Neodiprion lecontei: one gene and its partner. The main gene of each other region encodes a partner of the protein of the gene in region 2 in a complex. Links are inferred from orthologs where the notes say so. Each region holds a gene or a part of one and is shown on either strand. Other genes may lie near its edges.

The links.
Region 1: the proteins of 2-oxoisovalerate dehydrogenase subunit alpha, mitochondrial (region 2) and 2-oxoisovalerate dehydrogenase subunit beta, mitochondrial are in contact, whole or in part, in a crystal structure (PDB 1V16), measured with the Homo sapiens proteins. The link is inferred for Neodiprion lecontei from reciprocal best matches to the Homo sapiens genes BCKDHA and BCKDHB. Residues at the interface, in NP_000700.1 of Homo sapiens: Phe155, Leu185, Gly186, Lys187, Arg189, Gln190, Gly196, Cys197, Lys198, Phe202, Val203, Thr204, Ser206, Pro208, Thr211, Pro214, Gln215, Val217, Gly218, Ala219, Tyr221, Ala222, Arg225, Gly244, Asp245, Ala248, Asn251, Phe252, Thr255, Leu256; in NP_000047.1 of Homo sapiens: Pro89, Thr90, Val92, Asp117, Arg118, Phe120, Asn121, Thr122, Pro123, Cys125, Gln127, Gly128, Ile129, Gly131, Phe132, Ile134, Gly135, Ile136, Val138, Thr139, Asp158, Gln159, Asn162, Glu163, Ala165, Tyr167, Arg168, Tyr169, Arg170, Ser171.

What each region holds. Positions count from the first base shown.
Region 1 is NC_060260.1:1,512,019-1,523,291, forward strand, and holds 2-oxoisovalerate dehydrogenase subunit beta, mitochondrial, read left to right. Parts: upstream 1-4,073; 5' UTR 4,074-4,113; coding exon 4,114-4,276; intron 4,277-4,956; coding exon 4,957-5,034; intron 5,035-5,569; coding exon 5,570-5,772; intron 5,773-5,869; coding exon 5,870-6,025; intron 6,026-6,359; coding exon 6,360-6,531; intron 6,532-6,686; coding exon 6,687-6,832; intron 6,833-6,988; coding exon 6,989-7,075; intron 7,076-7,945; coding exon 7,946-8,086; 3' UTR 8,087-8,719; downstream 8,720-11,273. UniProt on the Homo sapiens protein: Together with BCKDHA forms the heterotetrameric E1 subunit of the mitochondrial branched-chain alpha-ketoacid dehydrogenase (BCKD) complex.
Region 2 is NC_060263.1:34,351,183-34,360,792, forward strand, and holds 2-oxoisovalerate dehydrogenase subunit alpha, mitochondrial, read left to right. Parts: upstream 1-4,061; coding exon 4,062-4,298; intron 4,299-4,718; coding exon 4,719-4,898; intron 4,899-4,991; coding exon 4,992-5,187; intron 5,188-5,360; coding exon 5,361-5,522; intron 5,523-5,626; coding exon 5,627-5,771; intron 5,772-5,873; coding exon 5,874-6,077; intron 6,078-6,230; coding exon 6,231-6,494; intron 6,495-6,581; coding exon 6,582-6,660; 3' UTR 6,661-6,783; downstream 6,784-9,610. Other genes in the region: ubiquitin-conjugating enzyme E2-17 kDa, read right to left, coding at 196-276, 1,358-1,401. UniProt on the Homo sapiens protein: Together with BCKDHB forms the heterotetrameric E1 subunit of the mitochondrial branched-chain alpha-ketoacid dehydrogenase (BCKD) complex.

The DNA of each region.
Region 1 (11,273 bases), on a different chromosome or scaffold from region 2:
TCGTCTAATAACGATGACGGAAGTAGCAATCAAAATCCAGAGATAAACATCATCGATGTAGACGTAGATGTTGTAGATGTAGAAACGGCTTCGATCGCTGTGCAAACGCACATAGAGAGCCGTTCCGTCGAGACGCAAGTCCACCGCGATCAGGAAGCGGTTCCAATTACCAGTGTCAGGAATGAGTCAAACGAAGATGGGCAAACTGATTACACTTCTCAAATAGGTCTGAACGAGAGACTGAATCAAGCGTTATCCCTGGCCTCGGAGCGATCTGCTTTGCTTGTAAAGTACGAGTTGGAAATTGCAGAGTACCGAGAAAAAATAGCCACTCTGAATGAGCAACTTGCCGAAAAAAATTCTCTGCTCAGTACAGTAACCGAAAAAACTGAAGAACCTGTAAAGTTCAATCCAAGTGTTGCAGACATTGAGACCTCCGATAAAATAGTCCTGAGATCGACGGTCAACAGTTTGCAAAAAATTATTACTCAAAAGGAAGAAACCATTCTCAGGTACCAAAATTTGTTGAAAGAAGACAGAGATGAACACAGCAAAGCAGCTGCTCGCTTACAGGAGGAAATCAAGAGTCTTCAGGCTCGAGTAGCTGGAATGCAGCAACAGGTGAATCAAAAGTATGACGCAGTAGTTTTATAACAATGAAATGGAGAGTTGATTTTTCTTTTGTTAATACTTAATTTGCACTCCTGTCAGAATAAACGACTACATTCATTTGCCCGAGGCTTTGCCAGTCAGAGAAAAAGTGCATAAAGATAGAAACAAGAATATCGACCTGGAAGAAGAGGCTGAGAAATTGAACGAACGTGTTTCTACACTAGAGGCTGATTTGAGTATAGCTAAGGAGTTGGGAGAACGATGGCATCGACTTGCTGAAGAGAGACTGAAGCACATGGACCACATGAGAGGAAGGTATCGTATTTTTTTATCAATTTTTAATGTAGTTGAAAGCGGGCTGCCCCCGTGACCCTTACGCGCAGTATCCAATTTGTTTGATACAGATTAGATGAACAGCACAAAAATGAGCTAGAGAGCTACAGAATGGAGCGCGACAAGTGGCAGCTCGAGGCTGATACACTGAGGCAACAATTATCTGACAACAGAGTGCAGCTTGCTAAGGGAAACAGTTTGTTATCCAAAGAGTTGCAAGAAAGGGATAATCGAATTCACGAGCTTGACATAGCTTATCAGGAGCTGCAGGTAACACACGACGTTTTTTAATCGTTTAGTGAATGATATCAACGTGTACAAACATGTCTGATTTTTAAAGAACGAGATGGAACTCGCTGAGAGAAACACAGTTTCGCGACAGACGGTAGCTCATGATTCTAAGATGCAGGAGATCACTAACAGTATTGGGAGAGCTCAGTCCAACCAGTTGCAATCTCAGTTGGATCTTGCCCGTAAGCAACTACAGGCACTGGCGGAAAAAGAGAAGAATTACAAAAGTCAGATCGTCGATCTCAAACAGCAGCTGAGTCGGAGGTGCGAAGATAATTCACTGTAGAGTTAAAAATTTCCCCTTAGCCATACTCGTGTTAGCCTTTTGTAAACCGTTTGTACCAATATTACTACACTGTCTCATTGACTAAATCTCCAGGTACATGGCAGCTAAAACCCACGAACAAAGAAACTCTCAGCGTGAAATACAACTTGAAAGAAAAGCGAGGGGATTAGAGGAAGAGTTGCATACGCTCAAACTACAACTGGAAAGAGAAAAATTCACGCACGAAAATAAGAAACTCAAAGTATACTTCACTCGAGTTAAATGTTGCACAATTTAAGCGACGGGAAACCATAACGCGACAAATAAATTTGCATTTAGAAATACTGTAAATAATCATCAAAATCCGGTATTTGTACGCGTTATGGGTTTCCGGTCCCGAGAGCGTGCTCATAATCATTAAATCATAATTTATGTTCAAGCTTTACGTTCAGATAGTTAAAGCTTTCATGTAATTTAATATTTCCATTCGTTTCATATGCCAACAGACAGCAGAGGAACTAGCACTGTGGGACAAGCAAAAACGATGGCAACAAACGGCTGAGAAGTTCAAGGAAAAATTGAAGGATAAGACAGAGGAGTACAACAAGCTGCAAGCGAATCACGAGAAGCTCAGAGCAGTAGTGTCCTGCATGGAGCGTGAAAAATGGTACCTACGAAGTAAGTTGAGGTGCGAAAATGGCTGCCTCATTGGTAGCTTGTCCGCTAGACCTAGAACGTTGAACCACACGGATATCCTGGAAGATCTTCAGCACGAATGCCACACGCTGAGAAGCAGAGTCCGAGAACTAACCGATCGTCTCGAGAGTGCGGACACGTCACAGCTAATTTTACAGATCGAGGCACAACGACGACAGATTTCATCTCTGGAAACCGTGACCAAGGTATTTATTTTATATCTGTATATTCATTTTGTTCACCTGTTCAGTCTTTATTTCAATCTATCAGGGAAACGAGTATGTCGTCGACCAATTGGAGAGACTTGAGGCGACAAAAGACGTCCTGGAGAAGAACAATCTAAAGTTAGAAAGCGAGAACTTGGAGCTGCGGCTTGAGATCGAACGTATTGTTCTAGATACCCCGAGATTGAGGGAGAAGGTTGAGCATTTAGAAAAGTAAGTCTCTCCGTCCGAGTTGTTGTCGTGAATGAACAGTGCACGCATAAGTTGCAATATTATCTCTGATCGCCAGATACGTGGAACTACTGAAAGTAGAAAAATCTACCGAATCATCGCCGCGTTTATTTCCAAAGGAATCTCACGAGCATGGAAACAAATCAACCGTTGAACTCGAGAAAACCGTGTTTACTTTGAAGCGGGTAATCGAGAAGCTCCAAGCGGAGAACAAGCGTTTAAAAGTAATCGCGAAAAAGAATCCCCACCCGCAATCAATGGTAATAAAATAATAATTAGCTCGCGAGATATCCCTGAGCAATACCTCGATCAGGGTGATAGTCAACCGGCAGTAAAATATTTCTTCCTTTTATTATTCAGACAAGGCCAAACAGCGGCGGAAGCACTTCGTCCCTTCACGGGCAATACGAAAGAGCGCAGCAGCGCGTTGTTGCCCTAGAAACCGACCTCCAATTAGCCGAACAAAGAATAGCGATGCTTGAGAATTCGCGGAAGGAAGAGGACAACGCGGGAGAGATTGGCGTTTTAAGGCAGCAACTTGCGCACAAATCGGAACTGCTTGACAAAGTTAAACAGCTACTGACCAGGGCTGCTATTAACGAAAAATCATTGCGGCAGAAGGTGCGTTGGAAAAATTGAACAGTGGGTAAAACAAAGCGTAAATACTGTGTCTTTCAGATCCAAATGCTCGAGGCTAAACAATCCTTGGAAACCATACCAGAGTGCTACGTATCGCCGCCAACTCCGGACGACTGAGAGTATGTTTAATTAACTAGTCGAGGATGAACATGAACCTGGACTTGTCATCGACGATCATGTGTGTGTTCTCTTTCTTTATTTTATCTAGTCTTAAGGATAAGTAACGAATCGACGAAGCAAGACACCGATATTTATTACACACATTTGAAATTAGCCGAAAACAGTACATAATTTGTAAGGCGGATCAAGACGAATACACGCACGTGAACCTTCAAGGTACCCAAGTATTTCTATATCTATAGAAAGCCTGCGAGGAAATATGAAAAAATGATAATTTTTTTTCTCTCATAACAGAGGAAAAGTGAAAGTTGAAATTTCCGAGAGAAATTCTTCAACAGGTTTCAAAGATGCGAGACGACGTGTGGCGCAATTCGCGGGCAATCGGTATCTGCGAAAATAAACTGCCGATGTAGATAAAAGACGAAACCGTGTGAGTGGTATGTTAATTAATAATTCGTACGGTTATCAAAAAGTCCGGACTGCGGTATATAAGATTGCCAAATGTTACGTATCTATGTACATACATGTAATGTACGCGATATAGATACGAATATGTTGCGCGCGTTACGAAATCCGGTGAAGGTCACGACCCTGCGTAAACCCCAGGTCGAGATAACGCTTTGTGTGTTAATACAATATATATTGCGTGTGTTAGCGATAACGGGGCCCGCGCGTCACTACGAAACACAGTATTTGACGAGCATGGCTACCAGCAAGTTCTGTTCGCGTCTCCGCAACGTTACAAGATTGTCAATAACAAATTCAGGCAGCATTTTCCCCGCCGTCGCTCCGTCAACAATCCGGCATGCAGGAATCGGAAGAACGCATTTCACCTACGCACCGGAATCCCCGCCAACGAATTCCGGTAATCTACGAATATGAAAAGAAGTCTAAAGACTCCTTGTTTTTTTTTCATTCTTTTTTTTTTTTGTTTTGTTTTTTTCATTACTTTGAATTGATTCGAAAGAAAATGAGAATAATAAAAATTAAAGAAAAAGAAACGGCAGCGTCGATCGGGTGATGTGTGTTACAACATGCGGATCATGCTCTTGCACCAGTTCGTGGTTTCCTCGTCATTTTACTTCTCCGCTCCCCCCCCCCCCCCCTCCCCCCTACCCCCTTTCTTTTTCTTTTTGTTTTCGTCTCTCATACGAGAAGTTGAACGAGGTCGTTGGCTATCCGCGGGGCTACTCGATATACAGGATTTTACTTAAGGTCTTTCATTATATACCAGATTCGCGAAGGATATGTACGTTATACTTATTCACCGATTCGCAATTAACGCTTGTCGGCACGTTGAACGAAAAAAAAAAGAACACGATAATAATAATGATATAATGCTCGTTCTCACACGCTCAAACGTCAACTTATCACATGGTCGTAAATTATTGCGATATTTTTACCATACCCGTGAATTGATTGTAGAGATTCTGTTACCAATTTCTCTTTCTATCTGCGAGAGGAATCACCTCGCATCGTTGAGAAATTCTTGACCGTTTATACGACTGCATACCTGTATGTATATGTACGTGCACGTGTACACAGGTGATACGCAAGAGATGAACATGTTCAAAGCAATAAACAACGGCCTTGCACTCAGCATGGAAGCGGACGAATCGGCAGGTAATATACCATTTTCACACATACTACCTTGCTAAGATTCGATGATTTGTACGTAAAGTGAACGTAACCATTTACTTATCTACAAAGTACGTGAAATTTATCTTGTCATTATCCAACAAGCAGATTTCGCGAACCGTGTATATCGGGCAATAAGATCTACGAATTTGCATTAACATTCTACCAGAAATCATAACTGAGAAGCTGTATACACTTTCCTTTCATTTTTTCTATTTTTGCCCAAATTCGTATAATCTACGACCGGTACACACGCAAAAGTCGTTCCAACTTTACTACAAACAATAATTCTTATCTTATCGTCACTTTTCTAATACTGTAGGTATAGGAGGTATATACGAATTTCCAAATTTACGTTTTAGTTTTAGTTTTTCTTTTTTTTTTTTTATCATTTTTTAATAAATCTCTCTCTTCTACCGTCGCGATAATGACGTATAAATTACTTTTACGAATGAGAAATGGATTACAATAGCAAATGGAAGTTGACGCATTGCATACCTTATATCCACGCTTATAACAGTATTCTTCGGGGAAGACGTGGCCTTCGGCGGTGTCTTCAGGTGTTCGATGGGTCTTCAGGAACGCTTTGGTAAAGATCGGGTATTCAATACGCCGCTTTGCGAGCAGGGAATCGTCGGTTTCGGCATCGGCATCGCGAACATGGGATCGACCGCAATTGCGGAAATACAATTCGCCGACTATATTTTCCCCGCCTTCGATCAGGTAAGGAAAAACTTGCCGCGATCTCCGGCGATTCTAAGGTTGAAGATAATTTACAGGAACAAAAAATAAAAGAAATGAAAATCATTTTCACTTCAAGCTCGTCAACGAGGCTGCCAAAATGCGGTACCGCAGCGGCGGAGACTACGATTGCGGAAAATTGACCGTCAGGGCACCATGCGGAGCGGTCGGTCACGGCGGTCTCTACCATTCCCAATCACCCGAAGCTTATTTCGCTCACACTCCAGGCCTCAAGGTCAGTTCACGTCGTATCCTCGTTACAAAGAAAAATCGATTTTCATTCGAAAATATTCAAAGGGTCGATCGTACAAGTGGTGACCGAAAGCTGTCCCTTATCCTTCCCCTTGACTCATCTGAATTTCGCACCCGCACTTTCGCAGATTAAAAACTCGTCCAAGTTTCTTGTTTTTTTAAGCATCGCGCGGCTCTGGACTGTTTTAGTAATAATGATAATAATAATCATGATAATAATAATAACGAGACGTGACTTGGAATTAAAACAAAGGGAGAAAAGCACGCAACCCTTCGCAACGTGTACTTCTTTCTAAAATTTTGCAAATTGTCCCCAGGTCGTGGTGCCTCGTGGACCGATAAAAGCCAAGGGTTTGCTGATGAGTTGCGTGGCCGAGCCTGATCCCTGCATAATATTTGAGCCAAAAATTCTTTACCGTGCCGCGGTTGAGGAGGTTCCGATCGGCAGATACGTTACGGAAATCGGCAAGGCGGAAATCGTCAGGAAAGGTCAGCCGCTTTCCCCGCATCTCTGATTTCGATTTAACCATCTTCGTGAAGTTTCCCTGCGATACTAATGACGACAAAAAAAAAAAAAAAAAGTCAAACTTACGCACGCACGCGCGCACATTCTTCTTTCTTTATCAATGTTCTCCGTTCTTCAGGCACCGACGTAACTCTCGTCGGCTGGGGAACTCAGGTTCACGTTCTGATCGAAGTTGCGAATCTCGTCGAGGAGAAGCTCGGAGTTTCCTGCGAGGTGATTGACCTCGTTACAATCCTCCCGTGGGACGTGGATGCCGTTTCTCAGGTGATTTTAATCCCCGTTTCGAATCGTCGAGGGTCGAGACGTGCGCATAGCCCAGGAATATAAATTTTTCCTCAATTTGTCGAAGTCAACGTTATACACTGCGGTTTCATCAAATGATCAAAATAATCAACTCATTTAACGTTAACTGCTTTTCAGTCGGTGAAAAAAACCGGTCGATTGATCATCGCCCACGAGGCACCGCTCACCTGCGGTTTTGGAAGCGAAATAGCAGCTACTATTCAGGTAAACTTTAACCTACCGTTCAACAAACATTTCACATTGTGTTCGTCATTTCATCAATCCAGAAACATCCGATTACTCACGCGAGATTCAATATCGAGGGTATAATGGAGGGAGGGCTCGACTTTTTTAGTGTGAATTAAAGATTTTTTTCTTTTGTGAAATTTTTACCGAATTCCGATCGCAGCTAATCGTTGAACCGTTAAATTTTTCTTCAGCGCATGCTCGTTATAATGAAACTTTCGATATTCCTGTTGGACGCAATGCTAATCATATAATAAAAAAGGACGTGATATACACGGACGATCGATCGGGAAGAGCGAATGCACCTTCTAAAACTTTCATTTCCTAATTGCTCGGTGACTCGGCGAAGCTTTTGTCTCGAAAACGGAGTTGCGAGATCGTAATCGAAGAGGAATTGACGCGTGGATTAAATATTACCGGGCGAAAGGATATAACAATAAGCGGAAGCATCGCGTGCAGATGCGGATGCTCGAGGTGTTTTTTTTACAACCGTATAAAAATTTGATTCCGATTAACGCAAGGCCTTTTGTGCTATAACGGCAATAATTCGATGACGTTTTAAGCGTATTACATTGTCTTCTTACGTCAATATGAGTCACGTATCGAGGAAGTAAACCGCGTAATGCCGTAAAGCGTTGTGACGGTAACAAATAAATATTTGTAAATATAAAACGACAATCGCATCAGCAAAAAAGCCGGTAGATTCTACTCATAGCCTCCTTTTTTTCAACGAAGATAAACGAATGCTCGCATTTTCGCACAGATTACGAAAGTAATTCCCATCATCGATAAAGTAACAATTTATACGCACACCTTGTAACTTTTGAGTAAAAATAACGCGATGCACAGGAATCGTGTTTCCTGAGCCTGGAGGCGCCGATCCAGCGAGTCACAGGATGGGACACGCCGTTTCCACACATTTTCGAGCCCTTTTATCTCCCCGACAAATGGCGGTGCTTCGACGCTGTCAAGAACATCGTCAACTACTGATAATCCTCGATTCCAGGACGCCAAATCGTCGCACCCGACCGATCCTCTTTCAAAGGACGTGGAAGTGGAAGAAGAAATCCTTCATTACACGCAACGCGGAACAAAGGCTATACTTTAATGTACAATTTCTTTGTTTTTCTTTTTTTTTTTTACTTTCACCTATCTCGCATGTACGTTATAATATAATATCTTGAAAATTCTAAGCTGCAAAGAGCTCTCGTGCGCTCTCCCCGACAGGGAAATACTTTTATTATCCCGTAACTTGTGCGGGTGAAACCTTGAATCGTGTGGTAAGGGGGATGAAAATTTTCGAAAGTACACGGACATCGAGACGTGGCGCGATCCGGTTTTTCTTAATTACTCCCGCCGGGTACATACATGGATTTAGGTAGAAATGTGTACGTGTGTAGGCAGTCGGCGACAAAAGTCAATGATTCGAAAGGACGTCCTTGCCGCTCGGGCGCTGCTGCATGATCTATAACTGCACGTCGGTTTGTACACAGGCATTATCATACAGCCTGAAAGTCTGCGGTGTACGTGATTTCTGTTCCCAATATAATAAGGGATCTGGAAATGAGAAAATCAAGTTTAATTCAATGGAACGATTCAGGATAATAAAAATATTGTACGTAACGTGTATACCTTATATGTACGTCAACTCTAGAACCGTAATTTATTCCCGTAATTTTCTTTCCATTTCACGTCTCCGATCCCGCATGACATAGGATAATATAATGATAAGAACAGTAGTGGAAATCGAATAACACGACGCGGTGACAAAAGTGGGGAAAACAAGCGTGCGGGAGTTGCTCGCCAGCTTTTGGCTAACCGAGAATCTGAAACGACGATCTAATCTTTGGAGATATTCGATCTTTTCACGGTCGATATAAATCAGAGCGCTCGATAAGTAGCCGATCGCGATTTTACACCCAGGATATGGGTAAACAAAAAATAACGCTTCGTACAATCGGTCATTCGATTGCGAAGGGTAATCAAATCAACGCCGACGGTGCAAAAATACTCGAGTCGATTCGACGCAAAGTCATGTCACGAACCCTGTAGTAACGCGATTCTTTTCTCCCGGATACAGCAAAAATCGGCATCAACGAATCGCGACAATTTGTTGCAACAAGGCGCTGATGTACTATACGCAGAACCAGCGCCGAGGCATAGACTGCATAGACATCGGGTATATATAATACGCGAAAATATGCGGTTTCGCAACGAAACGCCCCGAAGCGGCAAAAACCTCATCGCACCATTGCTCCGGATACAGAATACATACACTGGCTGTATTGTGTACGTACACGTATGCACGCAGACCGAGCGAGACTCGCGACCAGGTGTGGACGTGTAATTCACCGGCTCTTACAGGGCTACCTACTGACCATGGCCCAATTCCGTCGATCAGCCGGCCTGAATTACCGCCTGTCAAAATTAACGACTTGTGTACGCGATCTCCGACGATCAGGCTGCTGATCCTTAAAAGCCCTCTTGACGTATCAAGGAAGTCGTGCCTGAATCCGTAAAGTCGGCATCGTCCGCGCGTAAATGTACAATAATACCCCCTGATGAAAATGATTTCTACGATTTTATACGAATTTTTAACAAAATTCGTACATTGCGTAGAATTTTGTGCAAAAATTTACATAGATTTTCGTCAAATTTGTTTTTTCTCTCGGGAAAAGATCGACAAGCTACTACAATTTTCAAGGAAGTTTAACAATTCTTCACGAAAAACTATGCGTATTTACAAGTTTGTGAGAAATAATACGAAATGTTCCAATTTCTGTGAAAGATCGTAGTAGTAGAACTTTCCGTCCGGTTACTCGGCTCTTTTGTATAAGCAAAAATTCCCCCGTGCGTACCGTATAACAATTCCACTGCGGGGGGTGTCGAATTCATACAATCAATGTTGATGCATTGAGAATAACCCAACAATTACCTTGTAAAAAATTGGCGGTCAAAATCGACCAACAGCGCCGATGTGGACTACTATGGAAAAATTTTTGTGATCATTTTAGAATTTGAACGTCAGATAACTTTAAATTGATACCAAAAAACATTCCGTCAAAGTCGACACCGCATGTTTTTTACAGTGTACCGATTACTACCTGAGGATTAGATAATCAATCGGCGAGCTGCGAAATGATTTCGAGATTTGTGCGTTTGATACGTTTCTTTGCAACATCGTCCACTGTCAAATTGCACCGATTAAAATTGACGATATTGAAAAAGCAAGCGTGATTTCCTTCCACTTGATCGGCATGTAACACATCATACATGTACGTACGTAATACCTGCAAAATATACAGTGTACATACCTATATTCTAACGATGAGGAAAGCTGATCCGTCTGACTTCCGAAGGACGTGAACTTTAAAAGACGTCCCGGATAGAACGTCGCTGAATGTAGGCATTAAGCATATATACCTTAACCAGCTGTACCCGATGCGCACACACAGATGCTGATGAGGAACCCGTTCTCGGAGTCCGCGAACTTCGATGCAGTATCCGCGACGACCGGAGTCGAGAATTCATTAAAAATAGGTGCGTAATAACGAGTCTCTTGCCCCTGGAGGCGAGAAGCGTTTGAACCGGCGATTTTGCTTTCCCGCATTTTCACGGGGTCATTTCCTTTCGCGTTTTGGGTAAATGAGGGCATTCCTTGTGCCTGTCGAAGAAGGAGACGCGGTTGTTTTAAGTCACCTAGGATTTTCTACGTTCGTCGTGTGACTGTTGGGAGAATTTTCTCTCCGAGTCCCAAAGGGAAGGTTAACGATCTACGCGACGTATAACAATCGATAATTAATTTACCCACAAAACCGCGGCGCTTGGGGAAACACGTATATGTATTATAAGAACATGCCGAAATGGTTAATAGTAGACTGAAATATGTAACGCACGTACGTTGTATCCCAGTCTGCCTCCCATTCGAATAGATGTCGGACACGGATTCAGGGTTCGTACGCACAGGGAAAACCGAGAGAAGTCAAGAAATTTCCAAAATAGGACTGGAATTTTTAGTCCGTCTCGAAAAAAATAAACTCGTTCTTACACGGAGTAATATCGATCTTGAGAAGAAAAAAAATTGTACTTAGTATTTTGTTTCGTCGCACTTCGTACGTTCTACGTATGTTACTTGATACCAAACCTTGTTTCGTTTTTTTCTTACCGAAAATCGCAG
Region 2 (9,610 bases):
TTAAAAGATGAATTTGTAACGATCAATCATAGAAAATAAGAGTTAATAAATATTTGCTAAAATTGAATCAGCTGGAAATAATAAGTTATAAATATTTATGACTCATCGTAATCACAAAGAGGATAATTTTCTTACTGATCGATCTGTACATTATTATCATTTTCTTTCGTATTATTCTGCCTTACGAACACTTACCCAAAAATAACTGCATTCCAAATCATGATATTATTATCTGTTGGTGCGCCAGATACTCCAGTTGGTGGGTCTTCTTGTAACCTGCAAATAAAGCATAAGATTTGTCAAGCTTTTCGATAATTAACAAATAATCAAATCCTTATTCCATCTTTTACCGGTATTCTAACAGTTTTCACTTCAGACATTTGGTTCAATACCGAAGTAATTCTATTTGAATAAAAAACTAAATGTTTAATCATTATTCAATCGAAACAGTTTTTCTTGAAAGTAGCAAAATAAAGTTTAATACTCTCTACATAAAATTAGTTTACGCGTTAATGAAACATGACTGCCCAATGTGTACCATATTCAGTCATGGTCAAGTCGAGTCTGCATACAAATGTCGTCGGTTCAGCAACGAATCACGTTGATTAGCAATTTGAGGATAAACCAATGCTTGATGAACATTGAACAACGAACCACCTGAGGCTTTACAGTTTAGTTGTGCACCTGACGAGTTACTTAATTGAAAAATAACTTAGTCTAAGGGCAGGCGGTAGTTGACTCATCGCGACTAGCTGATAGCTGTTACTCATCGTGTTCCTTATACTACTTTGAGCAAGTCACAAGCATATTTAGGCGTGCAAAATTGCACGTTGCCAAATTAATGAGTAGATATATTTAATTTTCATTGAATTGCGAAAGAGAACAAAGAAGAGATCAGCCATAGGTTTCAACATCGACTATGGATAAGTGGAGGACATTGTGACAATGTGATTTGTCTGACCTAGAACGTCTAACATGTATGACATAAAGCATGGCGATAAAATTGCAATTTGAACATAAACCTGATGTAAAAGTGAACGATTTTCATCAGGAATAGGCGAATGGTTGGAGTAAACAAATAGTATAAAAAGGACGAGAGAGTTGTTTTAAGTGCACGAAAATACAACGTGTATCCTCTGCACCGTTCTCACGGCCTTCTAATAATAATTTCAGAGCACAAGTCACGGTGACGTTCACAGCGGGTAAAACGTCGGTTGTGTTGGTGAATTGGTGAGCATGTGACCATCGTAACGAAACGCTTTTTAACGGGTTAAAACTCTATCGAAGGGGATGACGGGGAGAAGTAAGGTTGAACCGATTATCACGATGCGACCGAGGGAGTTATTGGATTACGTACCTTTTGAAGTCCCTCATGAGTCTCCTTCTGGCAGGGGTGGACATCCCTTACGAATGGGCTGGTCACTTCTCCTCACGAGTAATGTGCTACGACGGGTTCGAGCCACCCAGCGAATCTTTAGCGCTCCTTGGCACACTACGCACGCGGCAGGTTTCTCCGAGAGGAATAATTCGAGAAACAAGGAAAAAGATACGCGCACAAACACCACAGCCGTAGAAGAGCACAATGGGTTTAAGAAAAAAAAGGAGGGAAATAAGATTTCAAAAAAAAAAAAAAAAACCACGCAACGCGCTACGGTCCTTGACGTGCCGTTATTAACGCGGAAACGAGGACGAGGAGCATCCGTTGTCTTCCTTCTGCTGCGTATATCTCGTTCCCCCTGGACTAAAAGCTGCTATCTCTCGATGTAATACCGTTATATTATGTTACAAGAATTGTATCACATTTACTTCTCGAAACTTCTTTTAACTCAACACTGCTTACCCTACCGATAATTGTCTAATTTTACCCGACGCACCAGACCAACACTTGCCTACATGAAAAAGCCCATGTCACAGACAAATTGAGGAAATTCACTTCCTACACTACCAGAACGGAGAACAGTGTGACACACGGAACAGCGGCTGCTGCTGAGCTATTCGGATCTGACGACTGACGTCAGGAATTTAAATCAACCGTGGCGATTAATCGCTTTTACGAACCCAGACTTTCATCCCACACTCCGCGGCGATAAAAACCAGTCCAGAGACGCGTCGCGTCGCCGCGAAATTCGTTCGTCCTGCCACCTCTAGGTGAATTTAAGTTCAAGCTCCTGGTACCACTAAACCACGCAACATATCATACGTGGCGTATGCGCGGTTGCCTTTAGTAAGGCAAATTGTACTCTGTCTTGCTTTTCTTATCGTTAGTTTCCATTACGTTATTTGAAGAAATTTTTTTTCCCACGAGTTTGATACCAGACGAATAAACAGTCGGATTGGCTTTATGGAATATCATTGACCCTGGAAAGAACTTGTTGGAGTGTAGAATCAGAAATTTGTAACTGGTACCACTGCATTACTGAACATTGTTGAACATATAATTTTGAAAAACTGGTAAATTCGAAAAATTAACGACGGAGCCAGGAATCGAACCTGGTATCTAGCGATGCTTTACCGGAGCCTTACTCCACTAGACCACCTAGCCGCCCTGACTCTGATGTCGTTAATTCCTCTCATCACCAGTAAGTTCAAATTTGTTTTCTTGTGCTGTAGTATGTGTGAATATATAAAGTGTTCTTCCTCTTCGAGCACAACTGTAAGAATGTCTGTAAGTGTGTTTACATTTTGGAAACTTACGCTTCTAATGCGAAGCCCGTAAGACAGTCAATGACCGTCTAATAATTGAAATGCGGATATGCATTATCAATATTAATATTAATCACGAGGCATTTTTCATTGTTGAACATATAATTTTGAAAAACTGGTAAATTCGAAAAATTAACGACGGAGCCAGAAATCGAACTTGGTATCTAGCGATGCTTTACCGGAGCCTTACTCCACTAGACCACCTAGCCGCCCTGACTCTGATGTCGTTAATTCCTCTCATCACCAGTAAGTTCAAATTTGTTTTCTTGTGCTGTAGTATGTGTGAATATATAAAGTGTTCTTCCTCTTCGAGCACAACTGTAAGAATGTCTGTAAGTGTGTTTACATTTTGGAAACTTACGCTTCTAATGCGAAGCCCGTAAGACAGTCAATGACCGTCTAATAATTGAAATGCTCGTTGTGCTCGAAGAGGAAGAACACTTTATATATTCACACATACTACAGCACGAGAAAACAAATTTGAACTTACTGGTGATGAGAGGAATTAACGACATCAGAGTCAGGGCGACTAGGTGGTCTAGTGGAGTAAGGCTCCGGTAAAGCATCGCTAGATACCAGGTTCGATTCCTGGCTCCGTCGTTAATTTTTCGAATTTACCAGTTTTTCAAAATTATATGTTCAACAACGAAAAATGCCTCGTGATTAATATTAATATTGATAATGCATATCCGCATTTCAATTATTAGACGGTCATTGACTGTCTTACGGGCTTCGCATTAGAAGCGTAAGTTTCCAAAATGTAAACACACTTACAGACATTCTTACAGTTGTGCTCGAAGAGGAAGAACACTTTATATATTACTGAACATTCATATTTTTTTGATTCTTTTTCCTAAATATAAATAATACACAACGTTGGTTGAAAAATATTTGCTTCGAATACAATAGAAAATTTGGTATATTTGCTCAGCCTGAATCGTTATAAATATGTATGCGTATTTATATTTACCAGGTTGAGCAAGTGGTACTCTTATCAGCATCCATAATGATAAGGATATTTTTGAAATACACCGTTTCCCAAGTTTTCGATAACTCAGTATCCATGCATGCAATTAAATCACAATCATAACCAAACTGATATGATGAGTCGACAGATTTTCACATGAAGAAATGTTATTTGGTCGGATGCTCGTCATTTTAATTACTTCGAGGAATACGATTTCAAATTTCGAATATTGTTCTGAAAAATTGTTGTGATGATCGATAATAGGTTTAACAATATATATTCAACATTATAATTTTTACAATAAATTAATGTAGTGTACATAAGTATACGCCAAAACGATCCGGCGTGTCTTATCAGTTAAAGTGTTGGTAGTAACCGGCATGATAAGTGTATGGTTACACAACAATGCTTACAATTCGTTCATTATTCATCGAGTTCAACGTGTGTCGTAGTTCTCGCGTCGAGTTGGTCGCACGAAATTCATACACCTCTCCACTGCTTTTCTTTGTACCTTCAACTTTATCATTCTTTCACTCAACTCCGTTTAAGCAATTGGAATTGTCTACATTTGGTCATGAGAGTCACGTGGGCTAAAAAAATCTTCAATCAATTTTCAGCACAATGTCTTGTGAGTTTCTTTTTTCATTTCTATCTTATATCAATGACGCTTGTGATCTATTGCCTGTCAGTAAGCGAACGATCACTAAATGTTCGTAACGATAAGCTAATCTGTGCATGACGTGGATATTATATTTTTAATAGTGGCAACTTGTAACATATCATAATGTCCTACCAAAGTAAACATCTCTTGCGTCAATGATAGCTGTCGTGTCGTTGCGATTGCCATACGCATATTAGAGACCTGATATTCTTGAAAGATTGGCGGAAAAGAGGATAATATGTCATAGAATCAAAGACTATTGATTAGAAATTTCAAGAATTCGAAATTCATCAGTTTGTTTCCTATTTCTGAGATTAATATTCTCATGTATGTTCATTTTATAAACGAGTACGTAATACTTACTTTTTCTTTTGATTTTTTTTACAGATTCACAAAGGTAACTTCACCACTTCAGCAACATTTGGACCCAGTAATCCCAAGTTTCCAATTATTTCTAACAATTTCACGGATGAGCTCAAATTTACCAATGCGACTTCATATGGCTCTATTCCAATATATCGAATATTGGGCTCTGCCACTGAGGATGAAGCAATGGCGAATATCGAGGTTTGTTAAAATTCGAATCACCAGTACGAACCCATGTATTTACGATTCAATGTTTGTTGATATTCATATTTTGAATTTTGAATTTGCCAAAAGCTGGAAGAGGCGAAATATATAAAAATGTACAAGGACATGGTAACAATTACTGTAATGGATAAAATACTTTATGAATCTCAACGGCAAGGCCGAATATCGTTCTACATGACTAATTCTGGCGAAGAGACTGTTCAAATTGGAACTGCAGCAGCTTTAAGTCTAAACGATGTTGTTTACGCACAATATCGGGAGGCTGGTGAGTTTAGATTATTTCTTCGTATCGTATCGCGTCCCTCTCACGACTTCAGCAAACTCAAGAAGTTAAATATCGTTGGTCCTAATCGTCAGAGCTGAAATTTACAATCAGGAAATTTGACAGAAATGCTAAGATAGACTTATAAATAATTACTAACATTTTTTATATTCCAGGTGTACTGCTCTGGCGGGGTTTTAAATTAAAACAATTCATGAACCAGTGCTACGGAAACTGTGAGGATATTGGAAAAGGAAAACAGATGCCAGTTCACTACGGATCTAAAGAATTGAACTTCGTTACTATATCATCGCCACTAACGACTCAATTACCGCAGGGTAAAGTAAACGCCATTTCTGTATTATTTTCAATATAAAGTAATTTAGATACGAAATCCATCCACATTTTGTAACTAATTACATGTTTTTTTATATTCCGTCAGCCGTTGGAGCAGCGTACGCATTGAAACTGGCACATTCGGACCGTTGCGTTGCCGTTTATTTCGGAGAAGGTGCAGCTAGTGAAGGAGACGCGCACGCCGCTTTCAATTTCGCAGCTACTCTCGATTGTCCCGTTATATTTATATGGTAAGTGGATGCAGAATTTGGAAAACTACTAGTTTGAACACTTCATCGCCAACAATACATCTACTAAACATGCGAATGGAATTTAAGGATTTAATTTTTTAGTCGGAACAATGGATATGCAATTTCCACTCCAGCTCGTGAGCAGTACAAGGGAGATGGTATCGCGGCCAAAGGACCTGCGTACGGTATTAACACAATTAGAGTCGATGGAAACGATATATTTGCAGTACACAACGCTACGCGTGCAGCGAAAGAGTGGACTTTGGCAAACGGAAAGCCTGTGCTAATCGAAGCAATGTCATATCGGTATAAAACAATCATTACTTCGTAATATTGTTCACTGATGTTTGTTGTTTGTAATTGGTAGTTGTTATAATCACTTAATTGTGACGTTTAGTACGATTGTACGCTCTGATAAAATTACGGTAGCTAATGAGTAATCATTTTTCATGCGTTTAGAATTGGTCATCACAGTACCTCTGATGACAGTTCTGCGTATCGATCAGTGAGCGAGATTGCCGAATGGGAAAAACTGCAACCGATCGCAAGATTTCGCCAGTGCCTAGAAAAATATGGATTGTGGTCTGAGGAGCAGGAAAAAGAATTCGTATCGTCGATCAAAAAGCAGATACTATCGGATTTTGCAGCGGCCGAAAAGAACGTAAAACCCAACTGGAAGGAGGTGTTCACTGACGTGTACTACAACATGCCAGATCATATTAAGTACGTTTACTTTGTACGATCAATGCGAGATAACTGAACGTGTGAAACAATCGGGAGCTAATGGAGTAAACGTTTGATTTATTTTAGGAAACAATCGGAAGCGATGGCAAAGCACGTCGACCAGTACAAAGAACATTATCCAGTAGAACTTTACAAGCAACAGTGAATCAGGTTTAAAATAATTCCAATCCCGAAAACAAATATCGATCTTTACTTACGTACCTTCATTTTTGGGAATCTGAAAACTTTTTCTGTACCTTTGAAAATATATATATAATTTAATCAACAATTCTTCGAGTTTTATTTTGTAAATATCCCGCACGCGTTAAAACTTTAACCGACCGCAGAGAACAAATATGTATAAAGAATACGTATGAATATATTAAGTTTCAAAAAGTATATCGGTAAAAATTGCTGTTTTTATTCGCTAAATCAAAAGTAAATGCAACACTCGGCATGCTTCTCCGATGACGCGCCCGAAACTTGTGTCGCTGCATGAAAATTTAGCCTAACGTTCGTGAAGTTAGGTTCAAGAATTTAGGAATACATAAACATGCCAAGACCCTGGGTTATTTTTCGTAACGGTTTGCCGGGTCTGGCCGGGTTTGGGGGTATTAGCAGTTTCACGTATTATCAACCAAGTAATTGATCATGCCGGTAAAAGAAGTTCTTCATAACCAACAATTATCGCGTGCAAAACGTTGGTAACATATCGTCGTCATCGCAAAATTGAAAAGTTGAGAAAATCTCGTGCAAGAAATACGTACGCCGAAATTATACAACGGATAAATAAATGTCAATCAAATAGGTATGTCGGAGACGTGTTTTTGTTTGCAAAACTATGCGAGAAGTCTGCGAAACATCAGAAACGTACAATCTAAATATTACTGATCAAACCTCGACTCAAATTGATGCAGTTTAAACTGTTGAAAAATATCGAAAAACTTAACTTCCAGGAGTTTAGATGTGCATATACATGATTTTGCAAATGGGTGAAGCAGGGTAAAAAACTACAGCCTAAACTTTGCAGAGAAATTAAAAACATTTAATTCAGTTAACAGTAACATTCGTCAAATATCAGAATCAACTTTCTACGAATAACAATTTTACACTCAACGGTAATTGATATCAATTTAAACTAGTATTGCCAGTTCATTCTAATTCTTTATTCCGACTGTCCATTCCCTGCGTAAAGGATTAGTGATTAGTGACGTGTGATTACGCGTAAACGATGAAGTCGTCTGGTTCAAGGTTCAGTTCATTACTTATTTTAACACATTAGTTTAACAATAAGTAATTTCTGGAGCAAGGCTCCGATTTGTTAGGGGGTGTTCCGTGTTATTCTCCAACTACGGCAAAAGTCTGCAAAATAAACAATAAATTGAAAAATACGATGTACAACCTATTACTGGTGAGATGCTAACGTCAGAATATTGTCTCAGAAAAGACCAATCGATTGTTGGAAGCAGAACACTTTTGAAGCTTCCGAACGGTCTTACAACTTTTCCGCTATGTGTTTTTCACAGAAATATCGTAATTTAAAGAGTGCACGTCTCCAAACTTCTTGGTACGACCTTTGACGCATTCATTCGAGCGATAAACAGTTCAGCATGAAACCATCCGTATATAATTGATAAGGATTTGATTACAAATAATCCGGAAAATCCATCTTCAGGTGGTATCAGTCGTTATAGTTTCTCATATCCAATTTAGAATTGTAATTAATTGACATCGTTTTTCAAAAAAGTTTTATTAGTGGAACGTAGGATTGAGCTGCATTAAATAACGTTCAATTGTTATTAATTTACTTTATATCGGCGAAACCTTATTCGGATATTATTTATCAATGTCACTTTTTGTCTATGTAAATTTGGGTTGCATGTTCCAAAAATTGGATTCATACTGTAAGTTCTGTCTTTCGGACTTTCAACATTTAATTAACTAGTAATTTTCTACCGAGTTGATCAATGCATCATTTTCATTCGCGTTTAATCATAATAATTTATAAATTTTACCTCCTCAACACTACAACACTCGGTAAACTTTCAACTTTCGTCCTGAACGACACAATTGCAAGTCATATTGTTATTACTATATGGAGAATCTTCTTGTAAAAAAAATTCCAGTACTGACAGGTAATTTGTGGACAATTCGTACACTTTGACAATATTTCCTGGTGAAAATAGTAGAAGATAAATAGTTTGTGATGAATAACATCTTAAAAATATGAGCATTTCCTATAATTCTGACTAAAAAATATCGTCAAAGTTTACGAGGTGTCCGCAAATTACCATTCAGTATGGGATTTCTTGTTACAAAAGGTATCTCGATTGTAATGTAGTTCACTTTCCTGAAGAAATAAAATTCAAAAATGACTCCTTACTGATGGATATTGTATGGCCGGATATCCGGCCAAATCGCTATCCGGCACATCCCTAATATTATTATTAAGGGTTATCAGTAAAATGCAGAAATTACGGGTAAAATAGTATCGACTTCGTCGGGTATATGTATTATATTCTCAAACTCGCAATTCCTAATAATCGATACGGGCACTGCCATAAATGTATAATAAAGCGGACAGATACGGGCAATTATAATCTGGGCCACTTGGTAATAAATTTCTGAACAATCCTGTGTTTGGAGGTCAGCGGACAGAGTCGTAAACTAACCAGGTAATGAGTAGAAGTTGTAAAAAGGAACCTTGATCATCTTTACATTTGTTTTTTATTACTTTTGAGATAATGATTGCCTAAGGATCATCAGGGTTTGTTACAGCATGGACTCAAATATTAGTAACAATCGAATGTTGCCTTATTTCTAAAAAATATTGACAAGTAGTATTTTTGTGTAGAATGGTCTGGGTTTTCCGATGCAAAGAAACTGTATTTTTAACAAACCAGGGGAATATAAAGTAACCATCGAGAAATTATAGTTATAGTTTCGATTTCGAGCAATTATTGCTGTAGCGTTAAAGTGTCCAGGTTTCGAATTGAGGGTTGCGCGTTTGAGGTTTGTAAATATTAAGTTAGATTTTGGTTAGTGGGCTGCAAGCTCAGTATATTAAGAAGTAGCGTGGGTTACGAATAATTTTCTACTGTTTAATTTTGGATCAC